Caenorhabditis elegans: one gene and its partner. The protein of the gene in region 1 interacts with the protein of each later gene in a biochemical or structural test. Each region holds a gene or a part of one and is shown in the gene's direction. Other genes may lie near its edges.

Region 1 (4,747 bases):
GCACAGTGAGCACCGGCAAGGAGTGGGGCTGGAGGGAGGAAAATCTGAAATCTATTGGTTTTAAAAGTATTCTTTCGAAGAAATAAATTCTTACATCCTCGTCGAGACCTTCTCCATCGTTGGCTAGGTTGAACTTGACGCGAACGTCCGACATGATGAGATGCAATAACCTGAAAATGAGGCACTTTATGATAAGAAAATGCGGTAAAACATGCGAAATATGGCACCATAAACCGTGAGCAGGACAAAGAACAAACACTTGGAAAAGAAAAGAAAATAGAAAGAAAAAAAGGAAAACTGGAGAAAACAAACTCAATAACACAACGCGAGAAATACAATTTCGTTTCGTTTTTTCTTCTATTTATTAGATTTCTCACAATTTGTTACCAGTAAAGTCACGTTCTATATTTCAAACTACTCCTAAAATTCGGTTTGAACAGTTCTCTGATAAACGAATTTCGAAGAACGATCAGAAAACAAATCTACGGTTGTGTGTGATCAATGGGGTCAAACGGTGGACGAAAGGGGACGGCGGAGAGAGGAAAAAGTGAGAGAAAATAAATAAAATTGACCTTCGAGTGCAGAGTTTTGCTGGTATTTTGGTCAGAATTGATTATGAAAATCTGAAAATTACCGCCGGGAAAGTTGAAAATTTGACGTGGAAACGTTTAAAAAAATAAGATGAGAAAGTTAGTACTGTAGATGTCGTCGGATCAAGTGCACAGTACGCAAGCACCGTTACGAAAAATTGCACTAATTGCTCAATTAAATTTTTTTAAAAAATTAATTTTTATAGTGTGTTTTGTGTTTTTTTTCTGCTTTTTTAATGATTTTTAAAGGCTTGATTATGTTTTTTTCTCAAAATTTGAATAATCAATAACATTAATTAATTACTTTATTAAAAAACCACATTTGGCATTTTAATAAAGCAAGTTATCGCGACAAACGGCAAAAATGTCTCTTTTTATAAAAATTGTTTTTTTTTGAGTTAAGAGAAGATGTGGAGTTTTTTGAACTACATTAGTTTTCTAAAAATTTTATCATCTAGATTTTGAGGAAAAAAGCAGATTATATATCTTTAATCTTGGTTTTAAAATTTTTTTAAAAAGCAGAATATTAAAGTAAAATATTATAAAAAGAAAAATTCGTGTTTGCAAAATTTGTTTGAACGGAACCTTGCAAAAATGATATTTAGCAGCTAAACTAACTGAAAACTACTGCATAAAGCTTTCCCAAAAAGAGCTACCATCCAGAAAATGTTTTTTTTTTCAAAGCCGAAAAAGAAGAAAAAAAGATAGAAAACCGAAAAAGCAGCATCGTTTTCGCGCACTCTTTCTTCTTTTTTTCTTTCTTTTTCTAAAAAAAAATATTCTCCGTAGCTTGAAGTCTCAGGATTTCCAAAGGGAATTTCCTTGATAGAATATGGAAAAACAAGAGAGTCATCAGAGAAGGGAGAGGAAAAGCGGGGATGCTGGCGAAGACCGGGGGCACCGACTGAAATATAGGCACCGGCGGGGAGGCGGGGCGCTCTCTCCTCTCCGCTTTACTCCGCCCCGATTGTCAGTGGAGCAGGTTTGCAATGAGTGTTCTCTGATGCCCCCTCAGCGCGGGAGTTTTGAAATCAAATATTTTGTATTTTAACCTACTTTATTGATTTTTCAATTAAAATGAAATGTTATTTGTTTAAAATTTAATTTCAGATGGCAGATGTTGCACTGAGGATCACAGAAACAGTGGCACGACTGCAAAAAGAACTGAAATGTGGAATTTGGTAATTTATTTTCAAAAAATCAACAAAAAAACCTTAAATTGGTTTTTTTTCAGCTGTTCAACATACAAAGATCCAATTCTGTCCACATGTTTCCATATTTTCTGTCGTTCTTGCATTAACGCTTGCTTCGAACGAAAACGAAAAGTTCAATGCCCAATTTGTAGAAGTGTACTGGATAAGCGAAGTTGTCGAGATACTTATCAAATTACAATGGCTGTGCAGAACTATTTAAAGCTATCAGAAGCATTTAAAAAAGATATTGAGAATATGAATACGTTCAAGTCACTGCCGCCAGAGAAAATGTTCATGGAAAGTCAAATGCCGCTGGATATCACGATTATTCCAGAGAATGATGGAAAACGATGCGCTCCAGATTTTGCTATACCTTTTTTGCCAGTGGTATGCTTTTTGGCACAAAAAACCAATTAAAACCAAAAGAAAATCACTAAAAATATTTCTAAAATGTCAAATAAAAACATTTTTCACCTTTTTTTGTGTCGTATAGCGATTAAATCAATTTTTAATAATTTTATTACACACTTTTTTCATCGATTTGCTAATTTCTGACTGAAAATCATAGCGGACTGCGAAAAAATTTCGTCAAAAACACGAAAAAAGCAGAAAAGAAATATTTTTTACTTTTTTTTTGTTTGGAAAACTGGACTCTATAGTTACATTTTCTAGTGTATTTTTTTGGGAAAAAAAATTAAAAATGCAATACAAATTGCTAATTAGCTAAATAGTTGAAAAATTTTGAGTTTTTGCATAATTTAGTCCGTTTTTCGAAGTTATCATTAAAAAATTCGGCCTTTTTGGGCTATTTTGACTCTATTAACATTAAATCTGTATTTTCAGCGCCGAAAGCGACCGAGTCGACCACAACCGCCGAGCGCATTCGCCGAGGAGCCTGCAGAACCGGTAGAACCGCCAGAACCAGCCACAAAACAACCTGTAGAGCTCCAAAGTCGAGTATTCCCGCTGGAAAAATTGAAAAAAGACGTGGAAACCTCTACAGAAACGTATAAAATATCAAGAGAAGAACTGAAAAATGTTGATATTGAAGAATACATAAATACCCTCCGAGGTTGGTCAAAAATCAAAAAAAAATTCGCTAATTTTTGCCAATTTTCCAGAAAATTCGACAGAGATTGATGAAATCGATGCACTTTTCCAATTAATGCCGACGATGCGACAATTTCTTCGAAATGTTTGTGATGATTCGGGCTTATTTAGAGGAAAATAATTTTTGAAATAAAATATTTTTTGCAGAATATCAATCAGCTAATGGAGAAATTCCATGTGGCGCCACCGAAAAAATCAGAGAAACCAGCGAATCGAAGAGTATCCTTTGCGAGTTCTCAAGATCTTGAAAACATAAAAATTATGACAGCTTCTGAATCGCTGGAAACTCCTCCTGAGCCAATCCAAAAACTAGCCCAAAAGCCTGAAGTTTTCAAAAGTACTCAAAATTTGATCGATTTGAATCTAAATACTGCAGTGAAAAAGCCAGTGGTCGTAGCATCAGATGATGATGAAGTTGTAGAAGATTCTGAAGGAGAACTACAAATTGATGAAGATGATCTGGCAAATGTTACCTGTGCTACAAGTGTAAGAAATATAGGAAAATCATTGTGTGCAGAATATATCAGGGGTGTGCGGCAAATTTGCCGAATTTGTCGTTTGCCGAGCTCGGCAAATTTCAAAAAAGTTGATTTGCCGAATTTGCCGAGCTCGGCAAATTTCGAAATTTGCCGCACACGTCAAAAATTTGACAGTACAATTTCGACTAAAACTACTGATTTTTTCGCCAAAAATTCAGTAAAATGACACAAAATTGAGTTATTTTGATGCTTAAGCAGACATACTACACGGAACTGATTCCGAAGCCAGATGTGTGTTAAGAATTCGGTAGTTTTGGTGGTCCAAAAACATCAAAAAATATCAAAAATTTCCGAGTTTGTTAAGCACGGCAAATTTGCCGAATTTGCCGAATTAGCCGAGCTCGGCAAATTTGCCGAATTTGCCGTGCTCGGCAAATATTGAACAAAGAGATTTGCCGAATTTGCCGAGCTCGGCAAATTTTGCGATTTGCCGCACACCCCTGGAATATATGGTTTTCAACAGAAAAATTCAATTTTAATTTTAAAAAAAGTTGAATTGTTTTATAAAAAAGTGCTGAACCCGAAAAAAAAACATAATTTTGAGAAAATGCAAATATTTTTTCATTCAAAATTTCCATTTTTGTTATAATTTCGAGCATAACTTTAAAGAAAAAATTTGAAAATAAATTTTTAAGCAATTTTTTTTTAAATATCAGGTTGTCCCATAAGTTTTTGTACTTTTTTTCAAATATTTTTCCAAAACTTCTAGAAAGTTTTAAAATTTTTTCATCGTAGGTCGTGTCAAGGTCGGGTCGTCCCCTTTCAGAAAAGATTCATTTCATCCATTTCTACTTTGCCACGATGACAATCATCAAACTTGAACGTCGAGACGTTAGATTGCTTCTTCTTTATGAATTTCGTCTTGGTCATTCAGCAATGGAAGCGGAACGAAACATATGCGGTGCGATGGGTGAGGGAGCACTCTCTTATAATACAGCAAAGAGTTGGTTTCAAAAGTTCAAGAACGGCGACTTCAGTCTCGAAGAAATAGAACGTTCTGGGCGACCGGTAGAGTTAAATGAAGAAGACCTAGTGAAGCTGGTGGAGGAAGAGCCTCGTCTTAGTCTTCGTGAAATGGAAGAGAAGCTTGAGTGTTGTCATAGCACAATTGCACGTCACTTGGGTCGCCTTGGTTTTACTTCAAAACTTGGAATTTGGGTGCCTCATGAACTTTCGGCATCACAGAAGCTCACTCGGGTCAACGTTTGTACTCAACTTCTAACTTTTCGTCGAAAGTTCGATTGGCTGAACAATCTGGTTACTGGAGATGAGAAGTGGGTGCTCTATGTTAACCATTCCAGAAAACGTCAATGGC
Region 2 (6,702 bases), 3.0 Mb from region 1:
CGATTTCTGAATTAATTCTTCATAATTTACCAGCATACATTTTTAAGATACAAGAAATTAAATATTGTTCCAACACTTTTTTTACAGGCGGTGATCCATTTTCTGATGCTGTCTGGCTTCCTGTACTCGATTTATGTTCTATCGAGTGTGAAATAACATCCGAATATTGTGTGGAAAATGAGGAACTTACACAACAATGCAAGAAATGTATGTTTTCGATGTTTAGAAGAAAGCTTGAGTTTTAAAAAATCTTTTTTCAGTACCGGAAGATTGCCAGGCTCTTCTCCGAAAAGCAATCAAACAAATTCAGAGACATATTCGATCACAAAAGCCAGTTTACCTTTAGATAATTTCTATCTCACTAATTTTTGTAAATTTGAACAATAAAGACTCTTGAATATTACCTTTTTACTCATCAATCTGAATTGTCCTTTTCCACGTGTAGCGGTCTCCATTCGATTCAAAACTTCTTTAGTAAATACTACAACAATTGATTTCACATCGCCTCCAAAATCAAAGAATTGAGTGACAATCGTGAGAATTCTATCGAAAACTTTCGTCTCGTTGCTTGAAAGGGCCCATGGCTCGAGAACTTCTGAAAATGAGAATTTATAAAAAAAACTTTTCAAAAGTATAACTTACTCAGGTACATTTTATCAAAACCAGATGATTCAACTGATGCTTTGATGAGAAGTGGAAGAAATACTTGAACTGTGGCGAAGTCACAGCGCTGAAAATAAAGTATTTATAAAAATTTTAAAATAGAAAACTAACCTTTAAAGCAGCCAAAATTTTAGGATACTGATCATCAGAAAATTGAATAGATCCGTCTTTCTTTACAAACTTTGCGTATTTTGCAACCACTGTTGAATGAGAATTACGAAGGCGAAGTGCCAGGTAGACATTTTCCGGTGTGAACTGAGAGCTGAGACCTTCCAAATTCATTTCGATGGCTGGGGATACACTCTGAAATTTAAAAATTAATATAGATTTGTTTTTGTTCAAACAGTAAATTGATTTACCTTTTGGAAAACACTTTCTTTTGTCTTTGTAGCCAAACTGCATAGAAGGTTAATCTGTGAAAATGCCAAGCTTGGAGCAAAGTCTCTGATTTTCTTCGAATGCTCAACAATTTTTGTAGCTTCTGCTTCTTTGAGTTTTCTGGTTTGACAATATGTGACAAGAATAAGATAATGTCCAATTGCATGTCCGGTACCAACAGTCTGAATCGAAACATTTAGTACAAATAAAGGAACTTACAATCCCAACCTTTTCTGCCAGGTCCATCTTTTTATCTGCAACGGCCAATATTTTGTCGAGTTCCCATGATTCGCCTGCTTTTGTCATTAAAATAGTACCCAAAGCGGTTGTATATCCCAAACGAACAGCAGCACGAGCTGAAGCACATCCAGAAATAAGACGTTCAATCACATATGTGTTGAGCTCGTTATCGGATAATTCCTAAAAAAATAACACTTTAATTAGGCATTTATTTCAGCTACTTTTTTCCTACCTCTTGTTTGCTTGAAAGCTGTCTAACTGCTCCTTTTCTGACTAATGGATCGAGCTCAGCAAGCTTTGAAATAATATCGAGTAATTCACTTGGCGGTCTCATGCTTAAAACTTAAAATTATAATTAAAAAGAGAATAAATTGACGAGAGGATCATTCTCGTGAATTTTCCAGACCAAGTAAACTGTATTTTTCTATAAAACACAAAAAATAAATGTAATTTTAGTTTAATGAAAGAAAAAGAAATAGAAGTAAAATATTTTGTTCGTAAAATAAAATGTATTCTGTGCGCACGCACCACACCTGACGCGCAAACAAACAAGTGCGATTTTCGAATTTTATTCTTTTCCTGTTTGATTTAATTATTGTTTCAGCGTCAAATAATGTTTGAAAACACTAAAAAAGCATTGGAAACGTTTCGAACAGCTATCGAGTGTGTTAAATGGTAAGTTGTTGTACAAGATTTTGCCTCTTAAATAAAATTTCAGCAAAAAACCGAGGGGAGACTTGCAATATCTCGGATCATCTTGCAAACATGCTTATTGCTGGTAGGTATTGCAACCTAATAAATTGTCAATAACTTCAGTTTATGTTCAGGGAATGTATCGCCACATTTCAACAGAAACCGTCTGGAAAACGCTCTTCAGTGGCTCGACACATGTGTCCGAGTTGTGCTTTCCCACTAGACACATCCAAAATCACAGAAGCTCATATGCTGAAAACGTGCTTTGATACTTTGTCTGAACTAAACGACCTTTTACAGAAAGTAAGTCAATGGTGAAAAGCTCGAAAATTAAATTCTCATTTAGGTCGGAACAACATCTCTAACTCAAGCAGAGTTTGCCTGTACACAAAACATTTTTAACAAAGAAAAAACTCCAGCTGATGCCGTAGAGAAATTCCTGGAGACGCAAGCTCATATGCCAGACGAGATGGGACAACTTGGTGAAGAGGATGATGATTTGATGTGTAAAGATGAAAACCGGTAAGTCGAAAAAATCTGCGTTCGGGGGGAATCGAACCCCCGTCGAATGCTTGGAAGGCATCCATGCTGACCATTACACCACGAACGCGACATATCGGGGATATCTTTCCGAGAAAACGATTCCCGTCATGCTTCTTCTACAAACCTGATGCGGTCTATTTGGTGGCTTCAAGTAGAAATGTCTCTTCATTTAATAGCTGGTTTCCCATGCCGCGTTCGTGGTGTAATGGTCAGCATGGATGCCTTCCAAGCATTCGACGGGGGTTCGATTCCCCCCGAACGCAGAACTTTTTTTCATATTTTCCCAGTAAATTCAGGGAAAATTCAAACTCTCCAGAATTGGATATATTCCACGACTACAGCAAAGAAGCTTCTCCGTGAGTTTGTTACATTGCTTCAATTAATTGAATTTTATTTACTTTTAGAACGCGTAATTCGACAAAACGCCCTTCAACTGTCAGTGTTCATGAGAGAAAACCCAAAAGGTCATCGATACTGAAAACTTCCGTCAAAAATGAACCGGCTGCGCCTGTAGTTGATCTTTTTGCATCGCAAGTTCCGCAGAGAACTCATCAAAATGATTTACTGACGCCGTTTATTGAGGTATGACAATTTCACTTTAAAGACGCTTCAGAACTTTAACGGAAATTCTTCAGCGTCGCTCAACTGCTCCAGCAGCAACTGGTGTTGCAACGTATGCTCAAGCTTTCGGAAGTAGCAGTAATCCAGTTAAAGCCGAAATTATCGAAGAAGATATTTTCTCGAAAGCGATTCCTCTCACAAAACGGCAAGCTTCAATGAGTGCGAGCGCCAAGAAACAACCAAAATTGGAACCTGAAGAACCAGAAGAAGTACCATCGACGTCTAGAAGTCGTAAAAATTCGATTAAATCCGATAAAATCGAACGACGATCTCAATCACCGATGAGTTTTGGAGAGAAGTCGATGAGTGTGAAATCAGAGCAAGTGAGTGACTTCAATAAAAGAGTTTTCGGGCGTTCGTCTTTCTACTCTGTCACGCTCAACGTCCACATTATCTTGTTGTCTGCGCCTCTGTCCCTTACTTAACAAGTCTTTGCATCACAGCACGCATGGCCTCCTTAGCTCAGTTGGTAGAGCGTGAGACTTTTAATCTTAAGGTCAGGGGTTCGAGTCCCCTAGGTGGCTTGACTTTTTTTTTTGAAAATTGAACTTGATCTCTACGCCTTCATTCCAATTTTCACATTTTCGCAAACTTTTTGCAATTTTTTAAATGTTCAGCGTCGCAGTTCTTATGGTACTCGTCGTGGTGAAGCTGTCCTGGTCAATTCAATTCGCAATAATCGTATTCCTCAACTTCGAAGTGCTGTAGAGGCAGGAACGTGCGTAAATGAGAAAGAAGACGGAAAGACACCACTTTACGTGGCAGTTGAGAATAGCTCATTGGAAGCTGTTAAGATACTTGTTGAAGCGGGTGCAGTTATTAATGCTTCATGTAAGAAACAACTTCTATCAACTTTCTTGACGAAGAATTCAGGCGGCTCAACATTAGAAACAACGCTTCACGAGGCTGTTCGCCGTCAAAATACTCAAATTGTTGAATATCTTTTATCGAAAGGTGCCAGCATCAAAATTCGAAATATTGCTGGAAAAACTGTCGAAGAAATGGCTAAAAGTGATCCGAAAATTAGGAAAATAATCGAAAAATTCAAGACTGAACAGAGAGTTTTACAGCCTGGTAAGAAATTTTTTGACAATTTTATTCTTCGTGATAAAAATTGAATTTTCAGTCGTCGCCCCTCCAAAATCTCGTCTTCATTTCGTTCAACTCATAGATGAGAAGATGCTCACTGAATCTGAAAAACGAAAACTTCCCGGAAAAATCAATGTAAAAACAATTAATTTTTAAAAATAAAATAAATTTATTCAGATAGTTCCTGCTGATATGGATTCTCCGACGCATGTGGTAGTCACCGTTGATTTGAAAACTCGTGTGCTCAATATTAACAAGGAGCATATTGGAGAAATTTTAAAAGCTATCATAAAGTAGGTTTTTAAAATTATCCTAAAAAGTGGGAGATAGTCATTTTGGGATTTTTAATGTCAGAAAATAGACCGTAATGACAGACTATAGCTGTTAAGAAATTAATTTTTTCGAAATTTTTCAAAAAATGGGCTACTTATTTTTAAATTCTCGCGCAAATAAATGGAAGGCATTTGTTCGTAAGAAAACGCATGATAATCAGAAAGAAATTCGCTGAAACTTCAAAATTGAATTGAAAGTCGATAATTTCACATTTATTCATCTTTTTTTTTGCTTAAAAAATTTATGAAAATCTGACAATCTTCGGAACATCAAGCAAAAATCACGAAAAGCGTTCGAATTTAGCCATTCATTTGCACGAGAGTTCAAAACTAATCAGAACTTATTATTTTTCCAAAGCTGAAATAATTTTTTAACAGTTATATTCGGTAATTATGGTCTATTTTCTATCATTCCTTCAAATCAGGTCGCAATGCATTACATATTTATTGGAGATAAAAAGATAATTAGGCACGAACACAGGCTCCTGCCACACATTTTTTTCCAACTGGACAGTCAAAAGTACAAGGTTCATCAGCATTTTCGTCAGTGATAACAACTCCACCACTTGCATGATTTGAAAAAAGACATTGTCCATAAACACAAAGCCTATTATCCGAGCAATCCGAATCAGTTCGACATTCTGCTTTCTTTGCATTAACATAAATTGAAAGAAGAAGAAGAAGGAAACACTGCAAAATTAGTTTTGAATATTAGCAAAAGTAGTATATAACTCACCAGAAACACCTTCATTTCAGTTTCACAGTGGCTCGATTGTATTATAAAATGCGTTTCCCTGTCTAGTTATAGACTGATCCCATGGGAAAATTGCAAACAATCGCAAGGGTGCAGTATGAGAGCCAAAAAAATCTATGTGAAAATATGAAATTTCAAAGCGGAAATTCATACTTTCAGATCGGGAATGATAGTTAGTCGAGATTGGCTGAGAGCGTGCATTATTGATCCATCGAAAGTCGATGATGATCGTTCTTATATGGTTCAGAAAGTTAGATGGATGGAAGGTGAAGTATTTGAAAATACTATTGAACAATGGAAGAAGACAATCACTAAAATGGTACGGATTTGATTTCCACTAAAGAAAAAAATACAACCAAATTTTTCAGCAACCAAAATTGTTCGCCGGTTGCAAATTTTTCATTCCAAAGCCAAAGTATAACTTCCTCGGTACGATTCTAATTTACAGTATTTTAATTTTTTCAATTTTCAATTTCAGATCGCCCAGCTCTTTTTGAAATTATTCGATCTGCCGGTGGTCAAGCTGCAGCGAGGGAGCCCATTATTGACGAAAAAGATCCACCGCCGTACCATAATGCCAACTTGAAACCAAACTTTGTGCTCTACAGCTTGACACATGATGTAAGTTTAACGAAGGAGTTTTCCTGTTATTATGGATTCGGTAGTTTCAGTTTGGTGACATTTTTATTTCTCTTTACAGATAGGAGACAAATTCCGCGACTGCACAAAGTACAATCTTGTCAGCGAGCAGTGGTTAATAGAGGCGATTCTTGGATGCTCCATCACAACACCACCACATTAACCATTTTCCGTTTTAAAATATTTTCTTTTGCGTTTCTATTGTAAAATTGCAATATGAATGATTATTTTTTGAAGTGTTATTTTATACACAACGGCATCCAATCCATGCAATTAAAGTTATGATGTAATTAAAATCGAGAACAAGATATAAATATAAGTTATGAGATCATATTAATTAAAAACAATTTACCGGCTTAAAACAAGAAAATTACAATTGAGTTATACAATTTACAATGATACAATTTACATTAAGAAGAATCTACACCATTCGTTTCCTGTACCTTTAATTTTCTTTTTTGATATTTGTTAACGGCAGTGACTGGACGAGTCTCATTATATTTCCGTTGATAAATAAAACAAGCATTACATTGAATTCCTTCCTTTGATCGAATATTCCTCCAACGAATTGTTTCAGTTACTGAACAATTTGAGCATTGAAATGACTTCTTATTATCAGAATTGCTCGGTGGAGTTGAACTTTGAGTAGAGGTAGATGGAGATGTAGATGGAGTAGAAAAATGAGTAAACGTGGTGAAATGGGAAGAATTAGGACTTCCAGTAGTTGGTGAAATATTTAAAGATGAAGAA

What was found. The genes of interacting proteins can lie anywhere in the genome.
Region 2: the proteins of brc-1 (region 1) and brd-1 form a complex in vitro, tested with the Caenorhabditis elegans proteins (one study listed by BioGRID).

What each region holds. Positions count from the first base shown.
Region 1 is NC_003281.10:3,859,912-3,864,658, reverse strand, and holds the start of brc-1 (Breast cancer type 1 susceptibility protein homolog), read left to right. Parts: upstream 1-1,700; coding exon 1,701-1,771; intron 1,772-1,824; coding exon 1,825-2,170; intron 2,171-2,626; coding exon 2,627-2,855; intron 2,856-2,904; coding exon 2,905-2,978; intron 2,979-3,040; coding exon 3,041-3,379; intron 3,380-4,747. Other genes in the region: acs-19 (Acetyl-coenzyme A synthetase), read right to left, coding at 1-44, 95-154. UniProt on the Caenorhabditis elegans protein: E3 ubiquitin-protein ligase that specifically mediates the formation of polyubiquitin chains and plays a central role in DNA repair.
Region 2 is NC_003281.10:6,884,688-6,891,389, reverse strand, and holds brd-1 (BRCA1-associated RING domain protein 1), read left to right. Parts: upstream 1-1,885; 5' UTR 1,886-1,894; coding exon 1,895-1,956; intron 1,957-1,999; coding exon 2,000-2,059; intron 2,060-2,108; coding exon 2,109-2,277; intron 2,278-2,320; coding exon 2,321-2,496; intron 2,497-2,504; exon of another isoform or gene 2,505-2,587; intron 2,588-2,708; exon of another isoform or gene 2,709-2,799; intron 2,800-2,813; coding exon 2,814-2,873; intron 2,874-2,921; coding exon 2,922-3,099; intron 3,100-3,152; coding exon 3,153-3,461; intron 3,462-3,586; exon of another isoform or gene 3,587-3,674; intron 3,675-3,755; coding exon 3,756-3,969; intron 3,970-4,011; coding exon 4,012-4,212; intron 4,213-4,264; coding exon 4,265-4,362; intron 4,363-4,404; coding exon 4,405-4,520; intron 4,521-5,472; coding exon 5,473-5,632; intron 5,633-5,681; coding exon 5,682-5,742; intron 5,743-5,791; coding exon 5,792-5,934; intron 5,935-6,013; coding exon 6,014-6,115; 3' UTR 6,116-6,183; downstream 6,184-6,702. Other genes in the region: K04C2.5 (INSulin related), read left to right, coding at 88-207, 261-346; K04C2.2 (DNA polymerase V), read right to left, coding at 405-595, 643-730, 775-966, 1,023-1,223, 1,270-1,461, 1,514-1,615; med-2 (GATA-type domain-containing protein), read right to left, coding at 6,363-6,702. UniProt on the Caenorhabditis elegans protein: Constituent of the CeBCD complex that possesses E3 ubiquitin-protein ligase activity.